Linked DNA regions of Drosophila melanogaster. The protein of the gene in region 2 interacts with the protein of the main gene of each other region in a pairwise test. Each region holds a gene or a part of one and is shown on either strand. Other genes may lie near its edges. The genes, in order: scaf6, Cpr76Ba, CG17163 and CG3557.

The links.
Region 1: the proteins of Cpr76Ba (region 2) and scaf6 interact in a two-hybrid assay, tested with the Drosophila melanogaster proteins (one large-scale study listed by BioGRID).
Region 3: the proteins of Cpr76Ba (region 2) and CG17163 interact in a two-hybrid assay, tested with the Drosophila melanogaster proteins (one large-scale study listed by BioGRID).
Region 4: the proteins of Cpr76Ba (region 2) and CG3557 interact in a two-hybrid assay, tested with the Drosophila melanogaster proteins (one large-scale study listed by BioGRID).

Annotation. Positions count from the first base shown.
Region 1 is NT_037436.4:17,036,557-17,044,190, forward strand, and holds scaf6 (SR-related CTD associated factor 6), read right to left. Parts: upstream 6,019-7,634; 5' UTR 5,904-6,018; coding exon 5,882-5,903; intron 5,718-5,881; coding exon 5,547-5,717; intron 5,485-5,546; coding exon 5,138-5,484; coding exon of another isoform or gene 5,129-5,137; exon of another isoform or gene 4,378-5,128; intron 4,046-4,377; coding exon 3,883-4,045; intron 3,655-3,882; coding exon 3,582-3,654; intron 3,075-3,581; coding exon 3,000-3,074; intron 2,778-2,999; coding exon 2,701-2,777; intron 2,638-2,700; coding exon 2,439-2,637; intron 2,377-2,438; coding exon 1,375-2,376; intron 1,318-1,374; coding exon 1,150-1,317; intron 1,079-1,149; coding exon 764-1,078; intron 700-763; coding exon 528-699; intron 475-527; coding exon 376-474; 3' UTR 303-375; downstream 1-302. Other genes in the region: beg (bad egg), read left to right, coding at 1-282; Papst2 (PAPS transporter 2), read left to right, coding at 6,510-7,361, 7,418-7,599.
Region 2 is NT_037436.4:19,517,037-19,520,238, forward strand, and holds Cpr76Ba (cuticular protein 76Ba), read right to left. Parts: upstream 1,297-3,202; 5' UTR 1,240-1,296; coding exon 625-1,239; 3' UTR 516-624; downstream 1-515. Other genes in the region: Cpr76Bb (cuticular protein 76Bb), read left to right, coding at 2,659-3,202.
Region 3 is NC_004354.4:23,080,367-23,084,286, forward strand, and holds CG17163 (uncharacterized protein), read right to left. Parts: upstream 2,344-3,920; 5' UTR 1,764-2,343; coding exon 1,704-1,763; intron 1,637-1,703; coding exon 1,550-1,636; intron 1,494-1,549; coding exon 1,266-1,493; 3' UTR 505-1,265; downstream 1-504. Other genes in the region: CG17168 (uncharacterized protein), read left to right, coding at 2,478-3,037, 3,361-3,920.
Region 4 is NT_033779.5:2,384,229-2,387,465, reverse strand, and holds CG3557 (uncharacterized protein), read left to right. Parts: upstream 1-1,673; 5' UTR 1,674-1,763; coding exon 1,764-1,959; intron 1,960-2,014; coding exon 2,015-2,634; 3' UTR 2,635-2,705; downstream 2,706-3,237. Other genes in the region: PIG-Wa (phosphatidylinositol glycan anchor biosynthesis class W a), read right to left, coding at 2,735-3,237.

The DNA.
Region 1 (7,634 bases), 2.5 Mb from region 2:
ACCAAAGCCCTGAAAACGGTGCGACTTCAGGACCCCGTCATTAGAGTGTACTCCAATGTGGATGGCAAACCCTATCGCCATGCCAAGCACATCCTAACGCAGCTGCCCAAGCAAATCGTGAGGCCCGTCAAGTGGGAGCAGACTCTCCACGAGATGTACGAGCGCAAGCAGGGCGTCGACTTTCCACGCACCTTCGAATGCGGTCCTGGCAAGGGCCTGGTCCAGGTCCTGGAAAAAGTAAATGCCAAGGCCGCTCAATCCAGCTTTAATGTTATAGCCTAATCTTGTATAAAAATTCAGTTCGCTTTTATAAAAATGTATATTTTCTGGGCTAAAGGAAACAAAAAACTGGGAAGTTATGACCGTTGGCAGATCCTAACTCTTGTCGTCTCGCGATCGCATCCGGTGCGCGAAGGCAGCTCCTTTGTTCTTCCGAAAGCTCTCGAAGGGATCGTGCATATTAGCGCCCACTCCCTGTGGATAGAAAATTATAAGTTGTCCTTTCTTGCGCACTCTTGCCACTTCACCTTGTACATCTCTCGACGATCGCGCACCTCGCCTCCCGAAATGGGCGTGTCGATGCCTTGATTCTTTGAGCCCAGTCCAGTTCCCGTGCCCGCCCAACCCATTTTCATGAGCATTTGGTGGCCCTTGTTCGATTCCTCGATGAAATCCGCTGGCTTGGCAAATGTGCTTCCCCTGGAAAAACAAAGATAGCTCATTGGTCCGACTGTCATGAAATTGTACTATAGCCATGATTTACAGAAAGCTCGGAGGTGTTAGAGATCTGTCGCGGTCCACTCGTCTTAGGTTGGTGCTGTTGCCATTGTCTCGGCTATTGGAATTGCCACGATCACCACGGCCCTCTCTGGTATTTGTGCTGCCGCTGTTGTTGTCCCGTTCGTGGCGAGGAGATCGATTGCGACCCTTGCGGTTGTTACCACCGCCCAACCTGCTCCGATTCATCGGTGGCGGCGTTAAAGAGCGCTCCATGGATCGCGAGCGGGATCGGGAGCGAGACAACGATCTATCTCGATGGGGCGGCGTTTTTGAGCGGGAGCGACTGCGACTCTTGGATCTGCGCAAGAAAATAAGTGCAAATATTTCTAGTTTTTGTGTGAAAATTTTTGATGGAAAACCAACACTCACCGATAAACTCGCTTGTTGCTCTTTTTGGGTAGGGGTTTCTCGAGCACAATCGGACTTGGCGACCGCGACTTTTCTCGAATGCCGTCCTTGATTTCCTCTTCTTTTTGCTTTCGCGCCGCATTCTTCACCTTATAGTACTCATAGAGACCAAGCTTCTCCCAACCCTCACTGCAAGATAAGCCCATTTATAAGGAACGCTCAATAACATCAAATTGAAATACTTACTTATCCCTTGGACGATCGTGTGAGGGTGCGGAATAGAAGGCGTTCAATGCATTTGTTAATCGCTCGCTTTGTGGCGCTGGAGCTGGCAGTCGAATGTCCGCCGGATCGAGGGCTTTGTAGTTGTAATCCTCCAGACGAATGAGCGGCACCATGAGGCCCGCTGGCAGGTCGTAGTAAGGCGCTGTGGGTATTTGTGGCTCTCCGATCACAACAGGTTCTCCAGATTCTCCGTCGACCAATTTCTGTGGTTGCTGGCCATCTTCCAATGTTCCGTCTTCGGGTTTGTTGGTTATAACCGCGCGAATGGCTGCATTGAGCACATCCAGATCCACTTCGCTGCTATCAGCATTTTGCTGGCCAGGTCTAACAATATTCTGGGGATAGGCAGCCATTGGCGGCGGCTGCTTTTGCTGCTGCGGTTGTTGCTGCTGCTGCTGCTGCAGTTGGTGCTGTCCTTGTTGCTGAGGGTCGTCAGGATGGTGTTGCTGCTGCATCTGTAAGCACGCCTGAATCGCTGCACTGAGAACGCCAAGATCAACAGGTGGTTCATTGCCAGAACCCGGCGCCTGCATGGGCGGAAACTGTCCCGGTTGTGGCTGCTGCTGGCCCATTGCTGGGCCCTGATTATGATGCATGGGTCCGGGGAAGCCTGGTGGTGGTTTGGACATGTCCGGAATGAAGAAGTTCGGTCCGCGTGGATCCGCAAAGTGATTCCCCGGTGGTGGCTGCTGCTGTTGGAAGTTACCACCTGGATACATATTATTTCCCGCCTGCGGATGCTGCTGATCATGCGGCCCCTGGCTATTCATGTGCTCATGGTCACCCGGCATTGCTATTCGGTGGGACATCAGCGATGGTATGTTCTTCTGCTGATGCTGAAGCATGTGTTGCTGCTGGGACTTCTGGGCCACAATCTGCTGCTCCAGGTGCTGCGCCTGTTTCTCCAGCTGCACAATTTGCTGGCTAGCATGTTGGATAAATACATGATGCTGTTTCTGATAGCTGAAGCATAAGAGTTATGGTTTATTATGTGCTCTATTATGTTCTTGGACTTTTATACTTACTTATCCAAAGTCGCCTTGGTATTCTGCGTGAATTTAGCAGTTATATCATGATGTGTGTTCTGCAGATTGGTTTTGTACTCCTGCATTGACGAGTCCGGTGACTGAAGCTTCGAGATGACGCAGGCATCGAAGAACTTCGCCTTGGACTCCCACAGAGACAGCAGCTTGGCTAGCTTCTGGCGCTGGTCGGGGTTGCCAACTGTGGGCGAGGATAACACTATTAGAAATCCGTAAAGGAATGGATCGAAGTGGAAATACATACTCAAGTCGGCGCTGCAGAACATCGGAATGACGACGTTCTCGAGGCTGTTCTTCAAGTCATTGATGTTCTTGCGCATGCTGTAAATATATCGTTGGACTTAGGTCTCATCTCCTAGCTACTCTAAATGTCAAGGTATGATGTCCGAAGTCCGGTGGTCGGTCAGGTTCAGTCCAATTCTGTCAGCGTAGTCGTCCGCAGAAACTAACCCACAAAGTAGTCTTACTGCTCAGTGGGTTAGTTATTGAGGTCTATGGCCCTTAAATACTATACTATACTAATAATTGACTGGGCGAACTTACCAGTGATGGAGTATATCATTAACTAAATATATAAGATGCAATTTTTGCTGAAACGTTGAACCATTGACCAAAGCCCTAAAAATAAATTAACAAACGAAAAACATATTTTTCTAGTTCTCTGTATGCACAACAACATTGCCAAAAGTACTTGTTGTGCAAGTATAATGATTTTTGTTAGTAAATCTTCTTTCTTTTTGGTATTTGTGTTTTTTTTTTTGGTTTTTTTTTTTTGTCCGATGATTATCACTGTTAAGTGTTGGTGTGTTGTTGTGCGTGTTTATGGTTAAGCTTATTAAGTAAAATGATTTGTTTGGGTGTGTGGCCCTAGCTAAAAGACTTCCGGATCTGGGGACTACTCATATATGATCATAACATCTCTCGAAAACGAATCAACGAATCAATCTCGAGCCTCTCTGTGGAAGTCTCAATCGCACAATCGCTCAATCGATCATCTCTCACTTGTTTGTTCGATATTTCGTATTTCGTTTTTCTATGTTTGGTTAGTATTTCACTCGTTGAAAGAAAGAAACACAATTTAATTAATACATATTGCAGGTCATTAGGTATAAAACTGAGGCATACTTCTTTAAAAGATATTGTAAAACGACATTGATTTTTGCGCTGTCGGTTGAATGCTGTAAAATCCAGTTCTTGCCTAAAATTGCAATATCAAACGGGTTACTCATATTGTCATTGTCCATGGCGATTATAAATTAGGTTTAGGATTAATCAAAAAGTAGTATGGATTCATTTAGTGTGCGCTTTGTGTGCAGCAAAGCTGCGGAGCATCAAAAATTCAGCTCCATTAGCTAACTTATGACTGATTACGAGACTACAAACAAGCAATAATGTAATCCAGCCTGTCCGCTGAACTCGTATTTACCTGCAGAGATGCTGTCCTTCGTGCAGGACTCGATGATCGGCTGCAGAACGCCATCGAAGTCCCTCAGCACAATGCCCTGTTCGCCAGCCATCTGTTCCTGCTGCGCCGTCTGCGCCGCCGCAATTGCATCCTCGATCTGCTTGGTCTTCTGATTCATCAGGGCCTACAGGTTGGTTTCGTTTGGTTGATTGGTGCGATTAGGATCGCAAGCGTTGGTGTGGTTCGGATCGGTTCGGTTTGGTCATTAGGCACACAAAGGTTTGTTCGCATGCATATTCGCATTTTGGGATTCATTTGACAAGCGTTTCAAAACAAATTTGATTTTAGGATTTGTTTTTTTTTTGTTTTTATACAGTTTTGTCAGTTGGTATGAAGAGTGGTTTGATTTGGTTTTTTTTTTTTTGGTTTATGTTTCAAAAAATACAATAAAGCAAAAATTTAATGTAGCATTGTAAATTGTTAATTAAATAGTAAAAATAATGACAAATATAGATTGTAGTTTGATATTGCTGAAAGTACACTTTAACTTTATCTTATCCGCACTTGGAGAACAAGAACTGAGTAGATCGATTGAAAAAACATTTGGAAAAGGGTCGAGAGCAGGATTGATTATTCTGAGGAATTCGTGGATTAGTTTCATAAGAAACAATTTCAAGAGGGAAGTCACTTCCATTACAGGGAAATTCAATAGCGACAAGCAATAAGAAATGTCCTTCTTATTAGAAAGAATTTAGTTCACAGTACTTATAGAGTGAAAAGTCCACAAAAGCAGTTCATAATTATTAATATTAAACACCATTTGATGAACTCTTGTTCCAGAGTTGTTATTACAAAAACTAGGGAATACAAAACTGCCATCTATGAGTCTATGACAATATCTTTGGAAATCATTTAAGTCCGAAAGTATATAAGGGTTATACAAGTTATCTTCTCTCTTAAGAAAATAATTAAAAGCATTCTGGCTTAAAATCGAGGTATATTCACATTCGATTGGGTCGTTTAAAAGGGAGGTCAAAAATTCGAAGAAGCAAACACGTTCTTATATTCAGACTATAAAAGCAACTTTTAGGTGGGTATTTAGTTTAAAAAGGAAACCAATTTGCTTCTTTAAATTTTTGCCAGAGGAGGCCAACATTCAACATGAAATCATATTGAAATCTTTTCTTTATACACTCGAGCTGCTCTAATCTTTCGGAAAAAGGCTTGCAAAGGTGGGCATATAGAGGTATCCCAGTTATTTCCAACTTCAAATTACCGTGTGCTGTGCGGAGAGATTCGCTTCGGATTGCTGGATCTGTTCCCGCAGCGACTTCTGCTGCATCTTGATGGCTTCCAGTTGTGACGTTAGATTCATGGCCATGGGATTGCCATTGGCCTGCTGATTGTTTGGCGGCCCACCGTTGCCGGAGTTCGGCGGCCAGGAGTGCTGTGTTTGCTGTTGCATATTGTCTTGTGCGGTTTCGGGCGGGTGCGGTGGCTGCTGATTGGGTGGCGGATAGAGGCCCGGTGGTTGGGATTGCTGCATTGGCGGCGGATGTTGCATGTAGTGGCCGGATGGAGCACCTGGTGGCAGTTGTTGGTTAATGGCCTGTTGCTTTAGCACTGTATTGGGTGTTAAAAGGAGATTATAGGGGTTATTTTCCACCAATTTAGAACGCACTCACGAGCTTGTTCCGCTGCCACCCTGAATTGATAATAGTTGGCGAACTCCCCGCCGTAGAGGAACTCGAACTTTGGATTGTTCTGCTGCTTCTGCTTGGTTATCGCCTCGAATTCCGGCCCATTTCTGGCCACAAACTCCGCCAGTTTGTCGATAATATTTCGTAAACTGGCATCTGCAAATAGAAAGCAAATGGTTTTTGCAAAAAATGTGAGCATATCAAAGGTTGTGCGTGCGCTTGTTTGTTTGTATGTGTACACATGTGCATGCCAATCGACTTGGGCACAAAATTAGCTTGATTTTAAGTTATATTCAGCACTTTTTAATTGCTGCACTTACCGCGTGGCGGTTGCACGTCCATTTTGCGACTGTTATTAGCACTATTATCCTATGTAAAATACTAAATTCATAACTTTTTGCACTTTTTCAGCGGCACTTTTCACTGCTTCTTCTTGTTTTTTCCGACAGTGTGCCCATATCTTTGTATTCTTAGAACGACATGTAGTCAAATACTAGGAGTTACTCTCGGCACTACTTTTTAAGTAGTTTTTAGCGCTTATCATACGCTTTTTTGAGCAAAAAAGCGGCTTAAACCTTTATCGCTGCTCATTTGTTAAATGTATTTATTGCCAGTAGCAGAAGTTCCAATTAGAATGACGGTGGTAGCAGAGCTGCCAACTTGTTCCACGTTATACCGGTCTCTCTTCTATTATTACCACAACGTGGCAACGCCGCGCGTCTATCTCAGTTCTAAGCTGACAAAAATAGTTTATTTGTGGTAAACAAACATTTAGCCAGGGCAATTTGCACCCAACAGAAATCTCCACGCCGGCCCGTGATTAATGCAGCATCCGAGGAGGCATGACAAATCCGCACTTTAAACCGACAACTCCGCGGACAGCGTGGCATTGAATTACACGGGCTCCCTGGAAATATAATCTTGAAATAGCCACTATATAGTGTGTATATGTATATAGACACATCCGCTAGCAGCAGAATGACCGATAATAAGGGGAGCGTTATCACCATTAATGGCGGCGAATCGGCGGGAAACTCGCCGCCCTCGCAGCGGAAGTCCTCGACGTCGGAATCTCCGCCGGAACTCCGTATCCTTTGCTTTGACCTCACCTACTACAATCGCACAACTCAGTTCCTGCTCAGCTGCGCCGGCGTCTTCTTCCTGTACATCCTGTACGGCTATCTGCAGGAGCTGATCTTCACCGTCGAAGGATTCAAACCCTACGGATGGTTCCTCACGCTCGTCCAGTTTGGCTACTACATCGGCTTCGGTTTGGTGGAGCGGCGGCTGGAGGGCTATCGGATAAGCGGCGGTTCCTTTTGGAACATTGAGCCGGAGCCACGTTGCATTCCCATGAGAACATACCTAATTCTGGCTGCTCTCACGCTGGGTACCATGGGTCTGTCCAACTCAAGTCTCGGCTACCTGAACTATCCCACCCAGGTGATTTTCAAGTGCTGCAAGCTCATTCCCGTGCTGGTGGGCAGCATCCTCATACAGGGCAAACGCTACGGACTGCTGGACTTTGCGGCAGCCACCTGCATGTGCATCGGATTGGCCTGGTTCACGCTGGCCGACTCCCAGATGACGCCCAATTTCAATCTGCTTGGTGTGGCCATGATTTCGGGAGCGCTGCTCTGCGACGCAGCCATTGGCAATGTCCAGGAGAAGGCGATGCGGGAATTCAAGGCGCCCAGCAGTGAGGTGGTGTTCTACTCATACGGCTTGGGTTTTGTGTACCTATTTGTGATTATGCTGGTTACCGGCAACTTCTTCAGCGGCTTTGCATTCTGTTTGGAGGTGGGTAACATTTGAGGTTTATGATGTAAGAGATCTAAAGTGTATTATCCATTTAGCATCCCGTTGAGACCTTCGGCTATGGCTTCCTCTTTAGTTTGTCCGGCTATCTGGGCATTCAGTTTGTGCTGGCTCTGGTGAGGAGTAGTGGTGCCCCCATAGCTGCCACAGTGACCACCGCCCGCAAGGCTGTGACTATAGCCTTCTCCTTTGTGCTTTTCAGCAAGCCCTTTACCTTACAGTAAGTACTATTCTGTGTATTTCTAAAGACAAAGC
Region 2 (3,202 bases):
TAAATAGGATTTCTCAGGCGTTGTTTCTCTGTCTCAGCAGATTAATAATATCAAAAATGGGAGGTCCGAAAAAACTTTCAATGGCATTCGTTTCGAAGTCAATGACTCTGGGCATCGAGATCGAGTCGAATAAGCAGGGGAACTTAAGTAACGACAGCGACGGCGATGTAGATGAATTAAAAAATTGTGAAAATCAGGAATATCTTTACCATCTTTACCATATCTTTACCGGACTCTGATGATAACTTTTGGAAGGACTTTTCTGAACAAGCCGAAGCCTTCAAAGTCCTTAGAAAAGATGTGCGTAAGATCTTCCGAACCTCCTTATGTGAGCTAGAATACAAAAAGGCTGCAAGACACTAAGGCCTCAACATCCTCCGTATCGAATGTATCTTAGAATTATTGGATCGGTAAGTTGTTTCTCTCATTTAATAAACGGTGTTCGTTGTGGTCTTAAATCTCAGAACTATTGTAAAAACTTTAAATAGTAAAGTAGTTTGATTTGTAGCTTTTTTCTGCACTTTGATATATTTACCTACTATTTAAGTTAACAATTTTGTAGTTCTATTTACAATAATTAAGTCGGTCCGAATCGCTTGCAGTCAGTCAGTTAGGTCAGCTCCTCTACCACCACTTGTTGCTCTTGTCCTCCCATTTGCTGCTGGTGTCCTGTTTGACATCCACGTAGCTGGTGGCATGACCATGCCCATGTCCGTATTGCTGGCCATATGAGTGGCTGTGCTCCAAGTGACTGGCGTGTCCCACATGCTTCACGGTTGCCTGGAATCCGTTGTGGGAGTCGGCGGTGTACTCAACGATCCTGGTGCGTCCGTCGGCCTCCTTCATGGTGTAGCCTCCCTTGACCTTGTCGCCATCGCGGGTCTCCCACTGCTGCTTGATGTCGCCGGTCTTGGTGTCCTTCACCCCGTAATTGAATTCGTATTTGGGATGGTGTTTGGGTTCCTCGTGGTGGCTCCACTGGTGGTGGCTATCGTGCGCAGCGACTGGAGCCCACTGCTGGTGGTGATGATCCTGAACTGTGCCCCATGAATGGGCCTTTGGGACATCCACCCATTGGTGGTGAGCCTGGTGGTGATCCTGCCACTGCTTGGGCGCCTCGTGATGCGTCTGGATGCTGTACCCCACGCCGTGTTCGTGACTATATCCACCATGAGGGATGTAGCTAGCAGCAGCCACTCCCAGAAGTGCGCAGCAGAGGATGCTCAATTGGTGGGCCATTTTCGTTGGTTTCTGATTGACTTGCCTGGCCTAAATCACGATTGGAACTGTTATAATCACCAGACAATGCCCAATGCTTTTATACTTCTGGCCATTCTATGGATCGATTAATTACATTTTAGACTGCGGGCTAAATAGGCTAGAAAAAAGTAAGAGCCCCAAAAATGGGTATAAAAAATGCTTCGAATTTTTGTGCAAATTTTCATTTTTCCCCATTCGTATTCATAGTCTTGGGCGGTCGGTCGATTGGCAAATTAAAACTTGCCAGAAACAACAACATCATCATTAAGCGGGGCGTGAACATCGCTCAAATGCTTGAAAAACGCAAAGCTTTTCGATTTTGTTGCTTAGAAATCAATCAACAAGTGTGGCCCGCTTTCAAATTGCTCAGCAATAGCCGCCTCGCCTCGCCTCGCTGCGTTTCCACGGTTGGACCCTCTTTTTCGCCTACTTCACTCCAAATGACCTTGAGACGGACGGTGCGGTAAGGGGCTGAGAAGGGGAGGGCAGCGTTGGGCGGACCGTCCAATCGGTTGGTGTTTCTGACCAGGGGGTCTGCTGTGGGGCACCCAGAGCTTCCGAATTGGTGTTAACTTACCGATAGTGTTTTTTAATGCATATAATTTACAAGGCTAATAGACTTTAAGCTCGGAAATTTGAAATGCGTGAAAATATAAGCATATTGGTATTTAGCCTACGTTATCTGATGTTAATTATTTTTAAGACGTTTATTTGCATAAATTGTTTCGCTATCTATAGGAATAACATGCATATTAAATAAAAAGAAATCCTGTAGTTCAAGTTTTAAAACTACTAATAACTATATAATAAATATAATGTTGAAGCCAACAGATTTCTAGGAAAAACACATAATTATTTATAGCAAAATAGGTTCGCTTTGGATATTTACATAAGGATTTCAAAGTACAACACTACAAAGTTTATTTATTGGTTAGTTTAACAGCATTTCCTTATTTCTTCAAGCAAAAGCTGCCGCCTTCATCAGTTCACATTCTCAGTCATAATTAATTTTTGTAAATTAAGCAATAAGTTCTTGCCTTAGTTTTTCCCTTCTCTTTGACTGAATACCAAACACATCGAACGATCTAACAAAAACTTTTTGGATCTGATATTATTAATTATTACTAGCAGAATTTAATTGTAACGGATTGGACTTTAAATAAAATGTGCCGATTTTCTATAGAGCTCAATGGCCGAAACAATAATAATAAGTACGAGTTAGTGAGGTAATTATCAAATCAGCTAGCTCGATTGGTGAATGGTGTGGCCAAGAGAATGACCACCCGATGGTTGATTGCCCCAGAGTCTTCGATAGCTATATATAGTCTAGGTGAGCTCCCCAAGAACCAGCAGACATCATCAAAGTTCCGATTGGAAAACAGCGAATAAGTGACCGATATGAAATCCTTTAGCGGAGGTCTGTTCTTTGCCCTTCTGGTGGGAGCCAGTTGGGCAGCTCCCCATGGTGGACACGCCACCAGCTACAGTTCGGTGACCAAGCACGAAGGACCCGTCCACAAGAGCCTGGGCTACGGATACGATCACGATGTGGTCAGCGCTTACGGTGGCATCTACGGACACGGCTATCCGAGTGTCGGCCATTCGGGCTACGGATACGGATACGACAAGCACGAGCCCCATCACTATCCCAAGTACCAATTCGACTACGGCGTCAAGGATGCCCACACCGGAGACCAGAAGAGCCAGTGGGAGACGCGGGATGGCGACAAGGTCAAGGGCAGCTACTCCCTCAAGGAATCGGATGGCACCACCCGAGTGGTGGAGTACACCGCCGATGACCACAATGGCTTCAACGCAGTGGTAAAGAAGCTCGGCCACGCCCACCACCCCCAGGTCTACCACAAGGGCTACGGACACGGCGATATCTACGACGCCGACTACGGCTACGGTCACGATGTGGCGCAATATGGCGGATACGGAT
Region 3 (3,920 bases), on a different chromosome or scaffold from region 2:
GTACACATCCTGTATTTCTAACCCTACTTTACGATATAATTAATACGTAAGACTGTCTATAGATTTAGAAGACGAGGCTTCCATCAGCTATTTCTATTTATTTCGTGAGTGTATCTTAAGGCCCGTAGTACAACCAACAAATGTTTAAACCGTTACCAAAGCACAAAACGAGATACTAGCAGTTAAGAAAATATTACACGCTTATCCGGAAGAGTCCATGATATTCACCCATTCTGCCCAGGCCTGTCGCTGACAGAAGAAATTCGTAACATCATAAAAACGTTCTGTTGATATTCCGCGTATATACTTAGCGCTTTAGCAACTACTTGTTAACTCTGCCTAATATACTTGATACCATTATTATTAATTTATAAATATACCTTAAGACAATTCTTACCGAATCATTATATTATTATTAAATTGTCTTTCAAACTGATCCCGAGACTATCTAGGGGCCAATTCATTAGACTTTGAAGCCAGTTTAAAAATAAAACAGTGATAATTGGGTGGCGGTTTGTCGTTAGGTTTTTAGTTTCATTTAGGGGAATAATTGAAATTACCTTGAAGTTGTTACATCACAAATAATATCATTGAATGAGATCAAATACACCTTAATACACATCCAGTATGCAAAATTCGTAGAACGATACCCAAAGTTAATTAATTGGAGTGTATCTAGGCGTGTACACTATTTATCTTAAAGATATATAAGTACATTTGTAAATATATAAGGAGAAACTTTATTTCCCCATTACCACTAAATATAAATAAGTTCAATAAAGGGCTTTGTTTTTGTTTGCACGCATTGGGTTGTCTTGGAGTTTCTCTGGGACTAATCAAATCGTTTACACATAAAAATACTTAGAATTAATTGGTTTGTACGCCCAATATTTTTTACACAGTACGCATACTACATCTGGTATTCCAACAAATGCATACAACATATAGAGAAATCAAGGAAGTCTTTGAAACTTCCAGGGGCTTCTTGGAGGCTGCACAGTATGCTCGTGCCACCTGTCCCATCATTTCTTCCTTATTCTCCTCAACCCTTCTACGTTCCATAAACAAATCAGTCTGAGCAATTACAATTCAGAAATTCCAAACATGCTGCAAATGCGAAATGGCAACTTTAAGCTGCCTCCTAACCCATTGGCACAAAGCTTAATTAATATGCTTCCGTATATAGATGGCTGTGCTCACTAAATGGTAACTAACACGCTGTCCAGCTCAGGACATTTTCAATCCGCTAGTCGAAATGCCCATTATTAGGTGCAGCAATGGTGACCGTTCTTAACGTAGTAATTGTGCATGGCAACAGTACCATTCTTGCTATAGCTTCCGCTACCATTGTACTGCATGTTGGACATGGAGCTGCCAATTCCGGAGCCACCTCCCGGAATGGGTGCGTCGTCGGTGCTGGTGGAGGCGTCAAAGGCCTTAATGGGATTCTGGATAATCTTGCAGGTGAATTGGCGATGGGGGCCACGCTCCTGCTGAAGAAGTACAAATACAAGTTTTGAACTTCGTATTGCCTAGTGAACATACATACCTTAGGTTGTATGGGGAAGCAGCACCAAAGGATAAATGCTATAAATGCCACCAGGGTGCCTACCAGCAGTATGAAGTCCTCGATGGTCTACAGAAGGCCGAAAAGGCATGTCTTGTGAGTACTAAATGGTATTGGCCCCATGAAGTCCACTTACCGGCTCCTCGCCCAGCAGCACATGATTGATTAGATAGACAAAGTCATCAAAGGGTGTCATCGTGACTATCCTTTTCGCACTTTTGTGCGTAAGGCAACTGCAACAGCTGCTACTGACAAATGCCGCTACAATCCGCACAGCACAACAGCATGGCGGTCCGGAGGATTACACCGCAATAACCACTGGCATATCCTCCGGGTTTTATGAATTTCTCGATTTTCGCACGGCTTTTCGACTGTGTGGCCAGGTGCGACCAGCTAACAGAAACAATTTTTAAACAGCTTATCGCGCAATGCATGTGTAAGCAAATGTACATGTGTTTTGAGCAAAAAATGCATTAATTGAATTGAACTAGCTGTAGGCTGTGCCTTTAATGCAGTCCTCCTTTAGGTAAACTCGTACTGTTTTTTAACCTGTTCATTCGGGCAGGCTGCGCTTTAAGCGTCTTCATCCCTAAGTAGTACATATACATGTACATTAATACGCGAGAGATACGCAAAGCCACGAAATCTTGCTTGGGCGAAATTGGTGCAGTTGTATATGAAACACCCAAAAATCTTTATTTCTATAAGACTTTGTGTTTTAAATTGTAAAAACTTTTTCAGAGTAATCGATATGGCTGCAAACTCGATAGGAAATACGATAATTTCTCTTAATTTTTTTTCCTCTGGTCACTCTCGTTTTAACAGCTGACCGTATCAGAAAAGACCCATTTTTTAATTTTTGGTTTGTTTTCCCATCGATTTCTGGAATTCGACGTGCATCATATGTAAAATGAGCAAGCAACGCAACAAGGAGCATGAACTGGAACAGCAACGCACCGGTCACGAGGGGGACACTAAAATGAGCGACCGCAACTTATCCAAAACGAAGAAGATTAAGCAAAGGGCGACCGCCGATTCCTCTAGTTCATCAGATTCCTCCAATGAAAGCAAAAAATCTAATCACAGCTCCCTGTCGCCTAACAGAAAGCAGCGGACAGCCGGTAAGCGACAAAGAGACTCCTCTCAATCGCAGGAGAAACGCCACAAGCAGTTAACACATCCGTCGGAGGACGTACATGAACAGCGCTCTAAGTGGGACAGTCCGGAACGCAGCAACTCCCATCGCAACAGTACAAGGCAGCGCCGGAACACTCGGAGTCGCTCAAGGGAGCGTAGCGAGAGAGAACGGGATAGGGATTGTGAGCGAAACAAAGAGCGGGACTATAACATGCAATCCAGCAAGGAGCGCTGGCAGCGTTCGCCTGCTCTGCGGCATCGTTCAAGGAGCAGCGAACGCAAAAATAGGGAGCGTGATCGCCAGCGGAGGCCTACTGAAAGGCGCCCGGTTCGGTAGGTTTTCGTAAATCATCTGTACTAAAACTTGTAATAAGTAAAAATTCATTCCATATTCTTCTATATATATATTACATAAACTGATTTTACCATAATTCCTATTAAATCTATAACTAGCTTAACTTAGCTACTATTTATACTTTTATTCTGCTCAGTTATACTTCATCTAAAATACTATTAAATTATTTTAATTAGTAAGGTTTGCGTTATATAAAAAAAAACTTTTTAAATTAGTTAAATTTAAAGACAGTCTAGCAAAAATATTTGTCCAACCCCTGAATGGCTAGTATATTTCTTCTTATTATTATCTTTATTCCCAGCCGTAGTCAAAGTCCACGAGATCGGTGCCACGGCGGGCGGGATCTTGACCAGAGACGCCAACGAAATCAGCGTCACAACAACAGCAACAAGAATGAGGATGATCACTACGTCTGGGGAAAGGAAGTCGACGAAAAAGTGCCAGCCGAGAACGACGTGCCGGTGGACAAGGAAAAGCCCAACTTCGGACTAAGTGGCGCGTTAACAGAGGACACTAATAAGTTAAACGGTGTGGTGGTTAAATACTCTGAGCCCCCGGAGGCACGCAAGCCCAAACGGCGCTGGAGATTGTACCCGTTCAAGGGCGAAACAGCATTGCCCACGCTCCATATTCATCGGCAGAGTTGCTTTCTGGTTGGACGCGATCGAAAAGTGGTCGATCTGGCAGTGGATCATCCTAGTTGCTCCAAACAACACGCAGCCCTGCAATATCGACTGGTGCCCTTCGAGCGGGAAGATGGTAGTCACGGAAAACGCGTGCGATTGTACCTTATCGATCTGGATTCGGCAAACGGAACGTTTCTCAACAACAAGAAGATCGATGCCAGGAAGTACTACGAGC
Region 4 (3,237 bases), on a different chromosome or scaffold from region 2:
ATAAAAACTGTTGTTCGATAAGCATTTTGTTTGCCATGTGCCTGAAGTTGTTAGGGCGTCTGTGCCCCAGCCCAAGTCACGAACTTCTGTGGTAACGCAGTGGGCTGCTGTGAAGGATTGAAGGCGGAGAAACGCTCGAGGAAGCCATAACGAATCAGTTTTTGATGTGGAACTTTGAAAAGTTCTATGGAAATTGTAAGAAAATTCAGAATGCATGGAAGGAGGCGATTCAATCGCAAGCAACTATATATTGCTTAATGCTAGGGAAACTGAATTAAAACTGAATTTAAGTCCTTTAAACAGAACCATGTAGGTGTCCTGCCACAGAGGAGCTATAGTTCAGACATATATTGCACATTCTCCGCACATTTGCCGCTTGGCAAAAGGTCCTGCAGCTTAGTCACCACACTGCCACACACATGGACACACACACCCACATGTACACATGATATTCATTATGAACGGCTTAAGCGATTTCCCCAGGGCCCAGGAGCTTAGTCCTTCACGCAGCAGACACACTCATGCATATGCACAGATATATTTGGGTTTTTATTTATTTCTTTTTATGAAAGCCCCGCTGAATGGAATCCGATTTGACGAGCAGTCGAAAAAAGGAACTCGTCAGCAAATTGGCAGCTCGAAAAAAGATGCGGTAAGCAGAAAAACCAATTCTCTACCTGATTGTTGGCCACATCAATCAGGATGTCATGTTCTACATGCTGGGGAAAAACATGAACATAATAATTAACGCTCATAATTCGACTCTCCCCAAAAGTGGACAACAATTCGCTTCTTTTGCTAATGAAAATAATCTGTCATCAAAGCCAAAAAGCCACCCCCTATGGTAACAGGTGCTCGTGCTTCCCGCTCTCCTGTTTTGCCTCATCCTGTTGCTTTTTCCAGGACACGCCTCCTGGTACACTATATGATTATATTTGGTTCCCAGCTATTAACTCTGCATAGCTTGTGGGCAGGAAGGGTTGAAAGGTTGGCGGACGGAAATTGCATTTGTGCTGGCCCAAATCAGATAAGATTCACCGGCGACGCCCTCGTCCTTGGCCAGGATATGACATTAAAAGCGCATCAAAGTCGAATGGCGAGCAGAGGCTACGCATCAGCAGCGGAAACTGTTGCCGTAATTACATTCGAGTCGGATAGAAAAAATTCCAAAGACGTATGTTCGGCAATGCGAACGCCTGATACCCTTTTCAGTGAGGAATTTTTGAGGAATCTTATCATTAGTAATCTTGATCTTAATTAATCTTCATCAAGGTATCTAAGTCACGAAATGAAAATGTTAACTTAAAACTCTAAGGTTTGTAGATAGGTTTTCGTATAGTTAAACCTCCTTTCGATGTCCTTTCCTTTGACAATAAGAAGCACATTGCTGGTCATTTGCGCGGTCCTTTAACCCTGGTCGCTTGTGAGCTTAGCTTCCCCCGGAGGCTGAACTTTGATTTGGTCTTTGTTTGCGCCGTTAAATTAAATGTCCTTGCCCAGCCGTTCGGGATCTGTGCTCATCCTGGATGCCCAGGGACAATGCAAGCAATTCCAGTCATTTCCTTAATAGAAATCTTATCTTTTGTGACGCCTTCGCCGTGTGCCTAAGCCGGATATCGCACCTTTGACATCTGCCCATGGCTCCTGACAAAGCAGGTCCATGCTAAGCACTCAAATATCTCTTACTTCCGGTCCGGCTTTTTGGGAGAATATCATTTGGAAAAATTGGGTGTTTATTTATACCAACACTAGCAGACGAAACCATGAAATCCTGTTGTGCCACTCAGACGACGCGTTGTGAGTGTCCAACGGGTCTCAGATTGGGGAAGAAGCCGCAGGCTCCACTCTTCGACATGCTGGGCCCGCATCCAGATGAGGTCATCATGACGATCCTGGACCGCATCCTCTATCTTTCGGGCGCCACGAAAATAATTCCATTGCTGGAGTTGTCGAATGAAGGTCAGTAATCGAAGGAAGTAATATAAATGCGTCCATAGATAAAATATACCCGTAGGATCAGCTTTTAAGAAGGAATCCTGCCCACCACCAGCACCCTGTGCACCAAGCCCTTGCAGTTCCGGAAGCAGCTCGGCTTATCCATCTTCATCGGCCTGGAGTACATGCTGCTCCAAGCCGTCGACTATCTGTTGTTATCCCAAGCCAACGAGATGCTGCGCCAGTCCAAAAGCTCCACTAGTGCCCTGCAGTCCAATGGATACTCCGAAATCTTCCTGCTTCAAGACCGCGAGTCGGCTTAGTTCCGCTGCCTGTTGTCCCCGCCAGCGTACTCCCAGGGTGGACTTCGATCACCCGGCGGAGGATATTCCGTTGAGAAATAAGGCGGGCAGCGCCACGATAAGGGAACAGATAAGCCGATCAATTTCCACCTGCTCGGTGGCCTGTCAACAGCTGAAAGACAAGCTTACATCCCAGATTGCCCAAGGACACAAGGACCAAAAGTGGTTGTGGACCCGTTTGATTCGTGGCAACGATGGGTGCATGGTGTACGAGGTGTACAAGGATTCCGATGTAGACAACTCTCCCTCTAAGATCGGGTCGGAGGCACCCATCATCCTTTTTCTAGTCATGCCGAATGGTTGCATCATGCCCTTTGAGTCTATTTGTGGTCCTTAGGAAGATGGTACTCGTTTTGTATACTTTTTAGCCTGTGGTCAGTTAAAAATAAACTTTCACCCGTACTTTGTATTTTGCTATTTAATTTATACAACAAATACTAAGCTACACGTATGCCTTTTTTTAGCATAAGGAAGACCACTCCAGCACAAACAAACATATAGATGGACAGTATAACAACAGACTCCAGATCACTTCGATGACCCGGGTTCAGGGACATGTTGACCATTCCCGTAAGGAAATTGGAGATCATGAAGTGAGTCAGACCGTTCATGTTCAGACTTTCAACAAAGGTGGGCAAGGATATGTTCTTTTGCCCGTCATCTCTAATTGACTTTTTAGAACAAATATCTGGCCGTACGAGTTTCAGCTCAAAGAAGAACGCGTAGATCACAATTAGGCTTAGGGAGACAGCGAAAATCCAGATTACATAGCCAAAACTAAAAGTTACACGTGCTATGCCCGTTAGAAAAGAACTTATAAAAACCAATTTCCAACAGAGAATGGCCACGAAAAGAATACTCTTTAACTTTCTTATTAGTCCTTGATAAGTCAGGCTATCACGGGAAGTATACCACTTGGCAAAGTAAATGCTGAGCAAAT